Linked DNA regions of Elephas maximus indicus. The protein of the gene in region 1 interacts with the protein of each later gene in a biochemical or structural test. Links are inferred from orthologs where the notes say so. Each region holds a gene or a part of one and is shown on either strand. Other genes may lie near its edges.

Region 1 (7,570 bases):
GAAACGCCGAGCATGTTCTTCCCATTTGGTTTTCTATCTCCAACTCTTTGCACATGGCATTATAATACTTTGTCTTCTCGAGCCACCCTTTGAAATCTTCTGTTCAGTTATTTTACTTCATCATTTCTTCCTTTTGCTTTAGCTGCTCGATGTTCGTGAGCAAGTTTCAGAGTCTCCTCTGACATCCATCTTGGTCTTTTCTTTATTTATATCTGTATACCCCCCCAACCTTAATCAGGATTCTGCTATAAATTCCTTGATCAAAATGTTCAGTAATGGTAGCTGAGCACCATCCAGTTCTTCTGGTTTCATGGCAAAGGAGGCAGTTGTTCTTGGGGGCAATTAGCCACACATTCCATATCTTCCTCCTAATCCTGACTGTCCTCCTTTCTCTGTTGCTCCACATGAATAGAGACCAATAGAACTATCTATATGGAATCAGACAGAACTATCTATATGGGATCAAATTGATAACAGCAACTGGAAAGATTAAATAGGAATCTTAGGAGTCCGTGAATTTACATTAATGAGGGAGGAACAATTCAGAAAAGGAGGGTGAGAATGGTTGCACAACTGGAAGAATGTAATCAGTGTCATTGAATTGTACATGTAGAAACTGTTGAATTGGTGTGTATTTTGCTGTGTATGTTCTCAACAATAACAACAAAATAAATAAAATTTAAAAAGATACTACCTTTTGCATAAGTCATTTTGTGCTGCTTCTGCCTGTATAATTTTGTGACAGATTTCTAGAACTGAGATTGTTCATGTGAATGTACATGTAACTTTTCCAAGCTCCCTTTGCTGGCGTTGTAATCACTTTGTAGTCTAACCAAAGATCTATGAGAGATCCTATTTCACTATAGCATAAGCAACCCCGTCTGTTGTTAAACTTCTGATTTTCATTAATGGATAGATGAGAGATGTTATCTCGATATGGATTTAATTTTCCATTTCTTTTAATATGAGTGCATATAAGGGTACTGGGTTTTGAAATAGGAAAAAAGTAAGCAAAGCCCTGGGATGACCAAGAGCCTGAGCATGCACCCAATTATTTCCTACCAAGGAGTTTCTGGGTGATGCAAATGGTTAATGCGCTCAGCTCCTAACTGAAAAGTTGGAAGTTCAAGTCCACCCACAGGTGCCTGGGAAGAAAAGCCTGGTGATTTACTCCCAAAAACAAATCAGCCGTTGAAAATCCTATAGAGCACAATTCTACTCTGACACACATGGGGTTGCCATGAGTTGGAATCAATTTGATGGCAGTGGGTTTGTTTTGTTATGTCAAAAAGCATCCTTACAGCAAGCTTGGTACCCAATTTTGTCTTCCAACAGTAATAATTCTATCCTCAATTGCTATAATTCCTCTGGAATTAAGTTAAGACTTGCCCAAGACCACACAAGTAACAAGAAGATAAACTTGGATTTGAAAGCCTATCTCTCTGATATCAGGTTCCCTGGTTAGTGAAACTCCACTACACCAACAGCAGAACAGTGAGGTTTCCAAGGAAGAACAAAGATCTGCAACAAGGACGTTTCCTGGAAGGACAGCTAGTAGGCAGAAGAGCAAGATGAAATAACTTTCTGGAAAGTGACTTCACTAGGATTGGTGTCATCCAGTGTGGTAACTCATAAAGTCACCCGGCTGGGGTGCGGAGGGCGGATGTCAAACCTCCCCAGCTCCCAGTGGGTGGAGGGGCCCAGTCCCACCCCGCCCCGATGCAGGGCCAAGTTCTGAGCTGCCTGGCCCTGCCCCTTCCAGTCCTGCAGCCCCACAGCTCCCTGCAAATCTCTTCCTTTCTCTCACTGGTCAAGGCAGAGACCCTGACTGGCAGTTGAGGTGGGGGGTAGTGCTGAGTTACCACAGTGGGGGATGGGTGACACCATCTCTACTGATGCCATGCCTTGGCAGCCTCTCTCCGGTCTGCCTGCCGCTGCCACCACCATGGACCCTGCGGTCGTTTGTTGTCAGCCCCTCTGATAGTATCTGGGTCAAGACTACACAGAGCTCTTGAGAAGGAGAAATAAGGATGAGTCATGAGCACATGTTTATAGATATGTACTTGAGATATATAGTGATTCCCACAGATATTTGGTGAGGCAGCTGGATAAAGGGAAAATGATTCACTTAAACAGTAGTTTATACAGATGGACATCATGTGATGGTAACTGTGAGAGCTAAGTAAATGCAATCAAATTAAAAAATTGGATTATAGGTATGATTGCATGGCTTATTTTATCTGAAATTAATGCTACATCAGGTGGTCTGGTTGCGCAAAGAGGCTTTGGGAATTACTCTCAGGGCTAACTCTCACTCTCAGAAAACAAAAGCCATGTGACTACCTGCCTTTCCCAAGAGTATCCACTGATCAAGATGGAAAAGTCTCAGCAGCCTAAAAAAAAAAAAAAAAAGGATTTTCTCATCAGCACTACGTGCCCTGGTCTAAACGGGGTGTCTCTGGCTGGATAGTTTTTTTTTTTTTTGGTCTTTCTTCATGGGGACAGATCACTGCTGTCCCCCAGAATGGGAACTCCATAGGAACTGGGGGTTTCCAAACCCAAGCCCAATATCTTCTTTTCTTCCACCTGGAAGAAGCATTCCTGCGGTAAGTTTTCGTACCCAGTTATCCCTTCCACTTGTACCAGTCACTCCCCCAAAAGGCACAATGCCTGAGGATGTTAAAAATAGCCTTTTTCCCTCGGTGGCTAGGAGCCTTAGTCACGAAATGGACTGTCCTTCCCAGTGGTGTCCAGTTGATTTCTCTTCGCATTGATGTCTTCTATTTTTCATGTAATTTGACCCATGGAAATGTCATCCTTTCAATTTTCCCATTGTGTCTGGACAAATCTGAATTCATTCAGCATTCAAATACCTTTAAAAAAATTTCTTTTATTGTGCTTTAAGTGAAAGTTTACAGTTGAAGTTAGTTTCTCATACAAAAATTTATACACACATTGTTATGTGACCCTAGTTGCTCTCCCTATAATATGATAGAACACTCCTTCTTTCCACACCAGGTTTCCTGTGTCCATTCAACCAGCTTCTGTCCCCTTTGGCCTTATTATCTCACCTCCAGACAGGAGCTGCCCATTTAGTCTCATGTGTCTACTTGAGCTAAGAAGCACTCTCTTCATGAGTATTATTTTATGTCTTATAGTCCAGTCTATTCTTTGTCTGAAGAGTTGGCTTTGGGAATGGTTTCAGTTCTGGATTAACAGAGAGTCCAGGGTCCATGTCTTCTTCCAGAGTCCCTCTAGTCTCAGTCAGACCATTAAGTCTGGTCTTCTTAATAGAATTTGAGTTGTGCACCCCACTTTTCTCCTGCTCTGTCAGAGACTCTCTGTTGTGTTCCCTGTCAGGGCAGTCATTGGTGGTAGCCAGGCACCATCTAGTTCTTCTGGTCTCAGCCGATGGAGTCTCCGGTTTATGTGGCCCCTTTTGTCTCTTGGGCTAATATTTTCCTTGTGTTTTTTGTGTTTTTCATTCTCCTTTGCTCCAGGTGGGTCAGGACCAATTGACCTATCTTAGGCAGCCGCTCCCTAGCTTTTAAGTCTCTAGATGCCAGTCACCAAAATAGGATGCAGAACATTTTCTTAATAACCTTTGTTATGCCAATTGACCTAGATGTCCTCTGAAACCATGGTCCCCCAGACCCCTGTCCCTGCTACTCTGTCCCTCAAAGTGTTTGGTTGTGTTCAGGAAACTTCTCAGCTTTTGGTTTAGTCCGGTTGTGCTAACTTCCCCTGTATTGTGTATTGTCCTTCCTTTCACCTAAAATAATTCTTATCTACTATCTAACTCATGAATACCTTTCACCCTCCCTCTCCTTCCTCCCCACCCTCATAACAGCATCCAAATACTTTTTGAGCACCCATTCTGGGCTAAGCATGGCTAATCATAGGTAGCTTCAGCAGAAAATGGGCAGCTGTTATAGCAAAAGCGGTGGTGCTCTCTCAGGAGAGGATCCTAGCAGCCAGAGGAGGCAAAGCCTAGCAATATAGGGTGATACACAAGGCTGCAGCCCAGTTCTGGGAAGCTTAACTTCAGCATTGCAGCCCCAGCCATTGAACATCACTGTTTCCACTATGTGCTAGAAAGTGTTCCCATCCGATTCTATGAGTCAAAGAAACTTACACTCAAGCCTTTTATATACTGAAATGGCTTGGTCACTTCATCACCCCCGCCCCTCTCACTTCCTGAAGCTGGCTGAGTCTCACAGAGAAACTTCATCTCACTCCCACTGGCCAGAAAAGGAAGAAGTGTTTCCATAGTTACGTCAGGCCAGCTGCCTCCACTTCCCTCCTTAGAGCTGGCCCTCGAATTGGGGCTGGATTTCAGGCCGACAAGGTGGCCTGTGATACGACGGGGCTCTCCATGGATCTACCTTACTACCACGGCCCCTTGACCAAGAGAGACTGTGAGATCTTGCTGCTCAGGGAAGGAGTAGATGGCAACTTTCTGTTGAGGGACAGCGAGTCGGTGCCAGGAGCGCTGTGCCTCTGTGTCTCGTGAGTAACCTTACAGTCAAATACTACATCAAATGTAGTGATGGCAACCAAATATAAAAGGAATTGCATTTCACTCTGACTTTGCAACCCAAATGAGTCGAGTGAGGACTGGGAGAGGTTGGAAAGAAGGCGTCTGTCCCTGCTCTTCCATCTGCCCTCTCTCTCCCTGATGTAAATGCCACCTAAGCAGAGCCTCTGGGTGAAGGAGAGGGCTGCAGGAAGCATGGGAGGTGAGGGGGAGTGGGGAGAAGGTAGAAAAGTGAGAAAGATTCTCTTCTCTAGAAGTCTGTTTATTTGGTATGGAATAGGTTGGGCACCCTTTTGAGATTTCAATCTGAGAGACCAAGTTTTTACATGTATTCTGCTGCCTCTACTTGGAATACTTAAATTATAATAATATTTCACAATTTTTATTCAGATTAGTAAAGGACTTCAACAAGTGTCATTTCCTTGTACACTTCTTGTGTACATAAGCGGCCACCATTTTGTATGTAAGGAAACAGAGACCTGAATGTCTCAAATGACTTGCTTGTGTTAAAACTCATCTGGTGTTTCCAAAAAGTTTGAATTGAGTAAGGAATTCCAGCCCAGGGTATCAGAGCTACCTTGCTGAGGGAACTTGTTTATGCTCAGTTTAAAAAAGCAATCCCAAACAGTTATCAGTAGACACCTCCTATCTTTGTGTGCTCTTCTCTTTGTAGAGTCCACTGACACTTTTCTTCTATTAAAGGAATTAAAACCCAGGTGTCTCTATGGGAGCTACTCAGAAAAAAGTGATTGTCATTACTGTCTTGACAACAAGGAGTTTTTGGATTTCTCCTCACTTATCGACTATCTTGTTATCTGACATTTTGCATTTATGACAACAGGAAAAAATCGACTATCCTACTATTTTACCCATTAACAACGTATGTTGGGTAGTAATAATGCTGGAGTGTGAGGCAAGAGTAATGCTGGCTTTTATGGTTAAGGTTATGTGTCCGCTTGACTGGGCCATGATACTCAGTGGGTTGGCAGTTATATAATGACGTAATCTGGCAGTTATGTTGTGATGTAATCATTCTCGATTTTGCCATCGGATGTGGACATCCTCCTTTTTCGTGTAACACTGATTTCACATAATGACCTGGTCTTTGGAACCTAACCATGTCGATAAGAAAGGAGAGGGTGTATTAACAGATAGAATCCAGTAGCCCATTAAAGGAGAAAACACACTATGACCAAGTGTGGTCCAATCCATCAAAGATGAATTGATTCCATATTAGGAAAATGATGCATCTAATTAAGGTGCCACAGTGGCACAGTGGTTAAAACACTTGGCTCCTAACTGAAAGTTCAGTGGTTTGAACTCACCAGCTGCTCCACAGGAGAAATATGTGGCAGTATGGTTCTATAAAGATATACAGCCTTGGAAATTCTACGAGGCAGTTCTGCTATGGCCTATAGTGTCATTATGAGTCAGAATCAACTCCACAGCAGTGGGTCAGGTCAAGTCATGCATTTAATTAATTTGAGTTATTGATTAATTATTAACTTAATTGATTAAATTAAACATATTGACATGAATAGGTCAATAGTTACAAATGATATGACTCACTCAAATTTGCTTAAAATGTATTAGATAAAATTCAGATTAAACATCCTATTTACATTAGCAAAAATAGTAACATGCAGGAATAAATGTACTATGACATGTGTAAGACTGACTTAAATATCTACTGGGAAGCTTACAAAAAATCTTGAATGAATGGAAGGTCTCAAGTTTGGAAGCTTGTCTGTTCACCTTAAATTAATCTAAAATATTCCATATGTTTCCAGGAGAAAAGACAGATTTTTTTAAAAATTTGCTGCAAGGACAGTGAAGTTGACCTAGGTTAGGGGTAGAACATGGAACCTGCTGGAATAGCCAAAGATTCTTTAATTTAAAAAAGAAAGACTAGCTCTACCAAATATTAAAATATTAATACATTATAAAACTATAGTAATTACTACAGAAATTGAAAGAGTTTGGTACTGACAGATCAATAAAATAGAATATAGAATCCAGAAACAAGGTCAAGTACACATGGAATTTAGCATTTGCTAAAAAGAGTGTTTCGAATCAAAGAGGAAAAGATGAATGATGACTAATGGGCACTTGACTAGTCACTTAGAAAAAAGTAAACCTAGATCCCTTAAAATGAAATTAATTCAAAATGGTTCTAATACTTAACTTATTTTTTAAAAAATGAAATCACAAATATTAAAACACAAATTATTAAAAAAAAAAAAGTCCTGGAATTGAGAAAGCCTTTCTAAGCAAAAAAATGAGATGCAGAAACCATAAAAGAATGACAAACGTGACCATAGTAAAAAAAAAAAAAACTTAAAAGACTATTGACAAAAAAAATAATAATTTTTATTAACATATAAAGAACTTTAAAAAAATCAATAGAAAAATAGAAAGCATACGAGCAGGAGATTCTCAGAAAAGAAAGATATGGAAAAATGCTACAGCTCACTCATAATTAAAGAAATACAAGTTAAAACAACACCAAAAAAAAAAAAAAATCCAAACCCATTGCCGTAGAGTCGATTCCGACTCATAGAGTACCTATAGGACAGAGTAGAACTGCCCCACAGGGTTTCCAAGGAGTAGCTGGTGAATTTGAACTGCTGATGTTTTGGTTAGCACCTGAGTTCTTAACCACTGCACCACCAGGCCCCTAAGAATAGTAAGATGCCATTTTTTCCTATTCAATGGACAAGAATTCAAACTGTGAAAATGCCTAGAGGAATTAGAGTGTTGGGAAACAGTCTTGCACACTTTGATACAACCTGTTTGAATCATAAAAAAACTCATTGCCATCGAGTCGATTGTGACTCATGGTGACCCAATAGGACAAAGTAGAAAAGCCGTGAAGTGACTGGTGGGTTCAAAATGCTGACCTTTAGGTTAGCAGCTCAGCACTTAACCATTGCACCGCCAGGCCTTCTTTGAATGGTAATGTGGCCAAGATATAAAATGCATGGATATAGCTTTTGACTAAAAATTTCACCAATAAACATTTCTTAGAGTTAT
Region 2 (7,583 bases), about 2.3 Mb from region 1:
TCTCTTCACTTCCCAGTGAGGAGATGGAAGTACTGGAGCCATGCAGCCTAGATTTCATTTACCATTCCCTCTGAACGCTCACAAAACTTTACCTCTGCATTTGTGCCTTCATCTAGAATACTATTTTTTCAAATACCACAAAAATTCAACCCAATAGACATATATATTTGGAAGGACACACAAGAACCTGGTAACAGTGTATGCCTTCAGGAAGAGGGATGGGAGGGAGAGTAAGTCTTTACTTCACACCTTTTTGAATTGTTTAGGTTTTACAGATATTTGTGTGATACTCTCCCAATAAATAAACCACTTAACAGAAAATTTAAGTGAAAAATTGCATGACAAAAAAAGTTTCTATCCACTTTCCGAATTCCAGATCAAATCCTTCTAAATTTTATCCAAGTCTCTCATATTTTAAAAATTCTATGGCATGTTCCATATACTTCAATTATAGTAGTATATTCTAATTTTTACTAAGGGATATAGGTACAGATTGAAGCCTCCCTTCACCAAATATAAACTCATTCAGTTTCCTTCGTTGAGACAGTAGTCTCTGGAGTCAAGCTATGTGACAGTGGAGAAATCACTAGACCCACTCTGGGCCTCTTTTTTTATTTATAAAATGTTAATGCTAGTAGTCACAGTACATATCCTATAGGGTTGGTGTAAGAATTAAATGAATAATACACATAAAGAAGTTGAAGCAGTGCCTGGCATACAGTAAGCATGCAATACATGCTACTATTTTCATTCAACAAATATTTATGGAAAAACTCTCAGGACCAGGCACTGTGTCAAGTGCTGGGCAGAGGTTGTGGTTGTTTGCTTTATTTCTCCCACACCTTACATCATGTGTCCTCAATAGATAGTGGCTGAATGGAATCATTCAAATTATTTTGTGGATGAAACCAAATAGCCCCGATGTTCTGATTTCTAGCCAAGAGCTGGAGATGCCAAAAGTGATGGCTTCATATTACCGTATGCAACTTTCAAGAGATGGAAGCACTAAGTCTACGTCTTGGGATAGAATGGGTCAGTGAACAGACAAATTTGGGCCAAGTATAGCACCCACCTACTTGTCCCTCACCTCTCCCCTAGTGTGTGTGAAGAGGCTGGGGAAGGCATGCCTGAAAAAATAAAAGAGCTCCCTGGGTGAAATGGAAAACCCACTTATTTGGGGATGGGTCAGTAGACTTTTTAATTTTTAGAATTCTGCCTGGAAGGTGAGCTGAGTTGAGATGGGAAGGAGAGTGGGTATGGATTTTACAAGAAATCAGTCTTCTTGGTTGAGTAAATCTGTCATGGCTGACCTATCTCATGTGCAAAGCATTTCCGCCTGGGTTTTATTGGGGTTTCACAAAATGGTGTGTATTTAAAAATAAAAATACTGAAAAAAATTTTGTACATATTTCGGAGAAGACAGAATGCAAAGAAGGGAGTAGCTGCTAATTGGGTGGAGGCTCCTATCAGGCTGGGCTGTTTTCTCACTAACCATTGACTCCCAAAGTGCGCAGTGAAGCAGCTGTCAGCAGAACCTGGAGGTGCCATGGGCTAGACTGATCAGGAGCCAAACAAGCCCAGAGATGAAAAAGCCCAGGCAACACTTCAACCCAGTCACTCCTGGTAGTCACCAACAAGTACTCCAAGAAAGATGGTCCACCAAGGAAGACTTGGCTCTCCTATGACAACTTTAAGTGGCTCATTTTGGCTTTCTGAGTCCTGAGTTCCATTCTTCCTCTCCTAGGCCTCAGGAAGTAAGAGCCTTGGGGTCTGCCTGATTCTGAGGTAAAGTGAGGCATAGCAAAGGCTCAGGCACCCTCTGGGCCTCCTCATCTGGGAGTCTGGCAAGAGAGAGTCCACATCCGCAGCTCCCACACATCCCTGGCATATCCCGGGGCTTTTCCTAGAAAAGTCCATGATGGATTTGCCATCTTGAAAACCCCAAGGCCAAAACACCCTGGGTGTCAGGATTTCCCCCCTTCCCTGATGCCGCTTCTACTCCAGGTTGTCTCCTACACTCTAACCAAAGCCCCAAGGCATTTAAGCAGAAAGGAATTGATGCTCACCCCCTACTCACACAGCCAGCCCAAGGTGCACTTCTAGCTTCACTTTTTCCCCCTCAAGTACCGTTTCTCATAACCCTGATAATACTGAATGGAGAACCCTAGCTTACCTTTGGAGGAAGACAGGCAAAAGACAAGAGCAGGACCCAGCTCCAAATGCTCTGCTATTTATATGGTCCAGCTGCTGGAGCTGCACTGACCCTGAAGGCTCCAGATTTGCATTTCCCACTTACCATAATTAGCCCTGGGCTCCAGAAATCCTGGCTTCTCCCCTCCTTTCTACCATGGAAACTTCTCTTCTAGGAAATAGCCATCAGTGACCACACTGTGGCCACAGTCTGTTCTTAGCTGAAGACCTGAGGTTTTCACTTCTACCTCTCCTTCCCGCTCTGACCCCCTCCTTCTTGTTGGACCATGTTCCTGGTTTGTCTGCTAGTGTGTGTGCAGCATCTCCTTCAGGGCAGAGATATAGGATTAATCTCTCAGAGCTTTGCCCCTCCAGCTTAGTTTCTCTAGCCTGGGTCTTTGCCAGAATGGTAACCCATGCAAAACCAACCACTCAACCAAGATTTCAACCAGAACCTCTCGCCCGGAAAGGCTGGTCTACAATGTGACCAGTACCTTTGGATTAGAGCTCCCAGTTTCCCTGGGAACTAGGATTGGTGAGGCTGAGCCTTAGTAGGAGCCCAGGAACTCATAATGTTCCTTCCTTCCTTTTTCAAAGATGCTGGAGAACTCAGAGCCAGTCCCTAAGGAAGAGAGAGCCGGCCACAGCCCCCAGCCCCTGCATCTTTTCTCTATCCACAGGGCTGTGCTGATTCCTAGCAGGTCATCATAGTATCCAAAACCTCAAACAGATGAACACTCACCTGTTCCGCAGCTCAGCTCAGAAGCCAGAGAAAGCAATAGCAGGAGGTTCAACGAGAGGAGCCCCTTGGGATCCATCAGTCAGGAAGGAGAGAAAAGGGAGCTTGCCAGGAGTCCGGCAGCTGCTTACAGACACACCAGGGCAGAAGATCTACATGTCAGACAGCGCTGCCTCTGCCAGCAAGGCTATGCAGCAGCTTCCTGTCTCAGAGGGACTTTTTCTGCCTGTGTATTGAGGATTGCTCATCTCTCTTTAGACTTTAAATCACTTTGTTGTTCTCAAGAAGTACGAGTCAGGCGCTTAGACTACTGGAGCCAGGAAGGGGGCTATGCCGAGTCATCTCAACCAAACCCCAGCTTTTGGTAGAAATATACACCCCTTGCATTTTCTTAGCTGTTTCTTGGAAAGTGGTGTCACAGTTCTCTGGGAAGTTCTATCTGCTAACTTTTCTTTGAGTGCAAAGAAAGTCTTCTTTGTGCTCAGGTCTATAGTGAATGTGGGGTTTTGTCAGACCCATTTCCAAATTTGGATGAGTTAGTTCAAAGTCCAACTTGGATGGCTGAACTTGGATGAGCGTGGGACCCTTACTTCTCATTTGCCCCATAATTTTGCAGAACAACTCTAAATGTAGGTACCTGGTGCCACAGTCAGGAGTCACTGGGTGGTGCAAATAGTTAAGTGGTCAGCTACTAACCATAAGACTGATGATTCAAATCCACCCATAGGCACCTCAAAAGAAAGGCCTGGCCATCTGCTTCTGAAAGGTCACAGCCTTGGAAATCCTGTAGACTGCAGTTCTACTCTGAAACACATGGGGTCACCACGAGTTGGAAGCGACTTGACAGCAATTGGTTTAGTTGTTTTTTTTTTTTTTTTTGGTTTTGGTGCCACAATCACAGGTGGGCAAGTGCGGATCACTTGGCAAAAACTCATCTTCTCTGCTGGGTACAATGTGGTAAATCTTAGTGAGCTCCAAGCTGTGGTTGAAGGAGTCACCTTTATTTTAGAACTTGTGTCTGCTGAGGAGAGGGGGCTAGAATTGCCAGAAGAAAGACCCTGTGCTTTTTCATGAGTCAAGCTGTAAGAGTGGGACAAAGGAAGGTTCTACTCCCAGTGCTCACGAAGAAGGCCTTGTAAGGCAAGGCTAGTGTTTCAGAAAAGTTGATTTCAATAGGGCAGAGACACTTTCTGATAGGCCTCTAAGGGGTCCAGGTGATAAGAGCTGATGATATTGTGAACTTGCTATTTATCCTGTTTTCTCCCTTCTATCTCCCAGTACCCAACCATCCCCTACCACGCCACTACCCAGTGGTGTGCTGGAGCCAGCATTACCGACTAATGAGGTACAATTGCTAAATTTTCAGGAATCTGTGAGCTGGTTGGTAAAAAATGGTCATTATCAAAAATTAAATTATATAAACTTGTGGTTAAATAAATTATATTAAAAATAAAGGGAATAAAAACTCAAAATTATTTTGTTGTTTTTAGGTGCCATCGAGTTGGTTCTGACTTCAAGTGACCCTATGTATAACAAAATGAAACCTTGCCCAGTCCTGTGCCATTCTCACAATCATTGCTATGTTTGAGCCCACTGTTGTAGCTACTGTGTCAGTCTATATCATTGAGGGTCTTCCTCTTTTTTGCTAACCCTCTACCCTACCAAGCATGATGTCTTTCTCCAGGGACTGGTCCCTCCTGATAACATCTCCAAAGTACATGAGATGAAATCCCACCACCCTCCCTTCCAAGGAGAACTCTGGCTGTACTTCTTCGCAGCCATACTTGTTTGTTCTTCTGGTAGTTCATGGCATATTCAATATTCTTGCCAACACCATAATTCAAAGGCATCAATTCTTCTTCAGTCTTCATTATTCACTGTCCAGCTTTCCCACTCATACGAGGAGATTGAAAATATCAAGGCTTGGATCAGAAACACCGTAGTGCTCAGAGTGACATCTTTGTTTTTCAACACTTTGAAGAGGTCTTTTGCAACAGATTTGCCCAATGCAATACATTGTTTGACTTCTTGACTCCTGCTTCCATGGGCATTGATTGTGGATTCCAGTAAAATGAAACCCTTGACAACTTCAATATTTCTTCCATTTGTCATGATGTTGCTTCTTGGTCCAGTTGTGAGGTTTTTTTGTTTTCTTTATGTTGAGGCATAATCCATATTGAAAGCTGTATTCTCTGATCTTCATCAGTAAGTGCTTCAAGTCCTCTTCACTTTTAGCAAGCAAGGTTGTGTCATCTGTATATTGCAGGTTGTTAATAAGTCTTCCACCAATTCTGATGCTACATTCTTCTTCGTTAACCCAGATTTTACTATTATCTATGCCCCTGAGGTTATTTACACCTATCACGGTGCAAATACTATGCCATGGGTGCTGTTGGACCTCTCTCCCCAACTGCACATTCTAAGGCATCATGTTGGTAGCTTGAACTCAGCTGGTGGGAGTGTTTATGAAGCATGTTACTGCAACACTGGAAGCTTTGCCACCGGTACTTCAAATATCAGCAGGTCCACCCTTTAGTGCACAGGTTTCAGCAGAGCTTCCAGACTAAGACAGGCTGGGAAGAAGGACCTGGCAGTCTATTTCTGAAAGAATTGGCCAGAGAAAACCTTATGAATAGCAGCAAAACACTGTCTGATATAGTGCCAGGAGATGAGCCCCTCAGGTTGGAAGGCACTCAAAAGATGACTGGGAAAGAGCTGTGTCCTCAAAGTAGAGTCAATCTTAAGGATGTAGATGGAGTCAAGCTTTCAGAACCTTCTTTTGCTGATGTGGTATGACTCAAAATGAGAAGGAACAACTGCAAACGTCCATTAATAATTGGAACATGGAATGTAGAAAGTATGAATCTAGGAAAATTGGAAGTCATCAAAAATGGAACACATAAACATTGATATCCTAGGCATTAGTGAGCTGAAATGGACTGGTATTGGCCATTTTGAGTTAGACAATCATATGGTCTGCTATGATGGGAATGAAAATTGAAGAGAAATGGCATCACATTCATTGTCAAAAAGAGCATTTCAAGATCTATCCTGAAGTATAACGCTGACATTGATAGGATAATATCCATACGCCTCCAAGGAAGATCAGTTAATATGACTATTATTCAAATTTACCCACCAACCACCAATGCCAAAGATGAGGAAATTGAAGATTTTTACCAATTTCTGTAGTCTGAAGTTGATCAAACATGCAGTTAAGATGCATTGATAATTACTGGTGATAGGAATGTGAAAATTGGAAGCAAAGAAGGATCAGTAATTGAAAACATGGTCTAGGTGCTAGAAATGACGCCAGAGATGACACAATAGAATTTTGCAAGACCAACAACTTCTTCATTGCAAATACCTTTTTTCAACAACATAAACAGAAACTGTACACATGAATCTCACTGGGTGTGTCATGGATTGAATTGTGTCCCCCCCAAATATCTGTCAACTTGGCTAGGCCATAATTCCAAGTATTGTGTGATTGTCTACCATTTTGTCATCTGATGTGATTTTCCTGTATGTTGTAAATCCTACCTCTATGATGTTAATGAAGCAGGATTAGAGGCAGTTATGTTAATGACGCAGGGTTCAATCTACAAGGTTATGTTGCATCTTAAGTCAATCTCTTTTAAGATAAAAAAGAGGGAAGCAAGCGGGGGCAAGGGGGACCTCATTAGGACCAAGCAAGAAGAGGCAGAAGTGAGCGTCCTTTGGACCCTGGGTCCCTGTGCTGAAAAGCTTCTAGACCAGGGGAAGATTAGTGACAAGGACGTTCCTCCAGAGCCAACAGAGAGAAAAAGCCCTCTCCTGGAGCTGGCGCCCTGAATTCAGACTTCTATCCTGCTAGATCGTGAGAGAATAAATCTCTGTTAAAGCCATTCACTTGTGGCATTTCTGTTACGGCAGCACTAGATAACCAAGGCAGGATGGAAAACACAGGTATCAAATAGACTACACCTGTGGAAAGACACGATGGAGAATCTCAATATCATCAGTCAGAACGAGGCCAGGGACTGAATATGCAACAGATCATCAATTGCTCATACGCAAGTTCCAGTTGAAGCTGAAGAAAATTAAAACAGGTTCTTGAGCACCAAAATGCTACCTCGAGTATATCTCACAGGAATTTGGAGACCATCTCAAGAACAGATTTGAAGCATTGAACACTAATGACTGAGGACCAGACGAGTTGTGGGAAGATATCAAGGACATGATAAGTAAAGAAAGCATAAGGTCATTAAAAAGACATGAAAGAAAAGAAATGGATATGAGAAGAGACTCTGAAACTTGCGCTTAACATAGAGTAGCTAAAGCAGATGAAAGAAATGATGAAGTAAAAGAGCTGAACAGAAGATTTCAAAGGGCAGCTCAAGAAGACAAAGTAAAATATTACAATGAAATGTGCAAAGACCTGGAGTTAGAAAACTAAAAGGGAAGAACATGCTCATCATTTCTCGAGCTGAAAGAACTGAAGAGAAAATTCAAGTCTCGAGCTGCAATTTGGAAAGTTTCTATGGGCAAAATATTAAACAATGCAGGAAGCATCAAAAGCAGATAGAAGGAATACACAGTAACTGTAACAAAAAGAACTGGTCGATGTTCAACCATTCCAGGAGGTGGCATATGATCAAAGACTGATGGTATT

What was found.
Region 2: the proteins of SH2D1B (region 1) and SLAMF1 interact in a test that uses a peptide from one of them, tested with the Homo sapiens proteins (2 studies listed by BioGRID). The link is inferred for Elephas maximus indicus from reciprocal best matches to the Homo sapiens genes SH2D1B and SLAMF1.

What each region holds. Positions count from the first base shown.
Region 1 is NC_064821.1:201,677,092-201,684,661, reverse strand, and holds the start of SH2D1B (SH2 domain-containing protein 1B), read left to right. Parts: upstream 1-4,303; 5' UTR 4,304-4,375; coding exon 4,376-4,509; intron 4,510-7,570. UniProt on the Homo sapiens protein: Cytoplasmic adapter regulating receptors of the signaling lymphocytic activation molecule (SLAM) family such as CD84, SLAMF1, LY9 and CD244. In SLAM signaling seems to cooperate with SH2D1A/SAP.
Region 2 is NC_064821.1:199,406,505-199,414,087, forward strand, and holds the start of SLAMF1 (signaling lymphocytic activation molecule), read right to left. Parts: upstream 3,114-7,583; 5' UTR 3,009-3,113; coding exon 2,933-3,008; intron 2,465-2,932; exon of another isoform or gene 2,297-2,464; intron 1-2,296.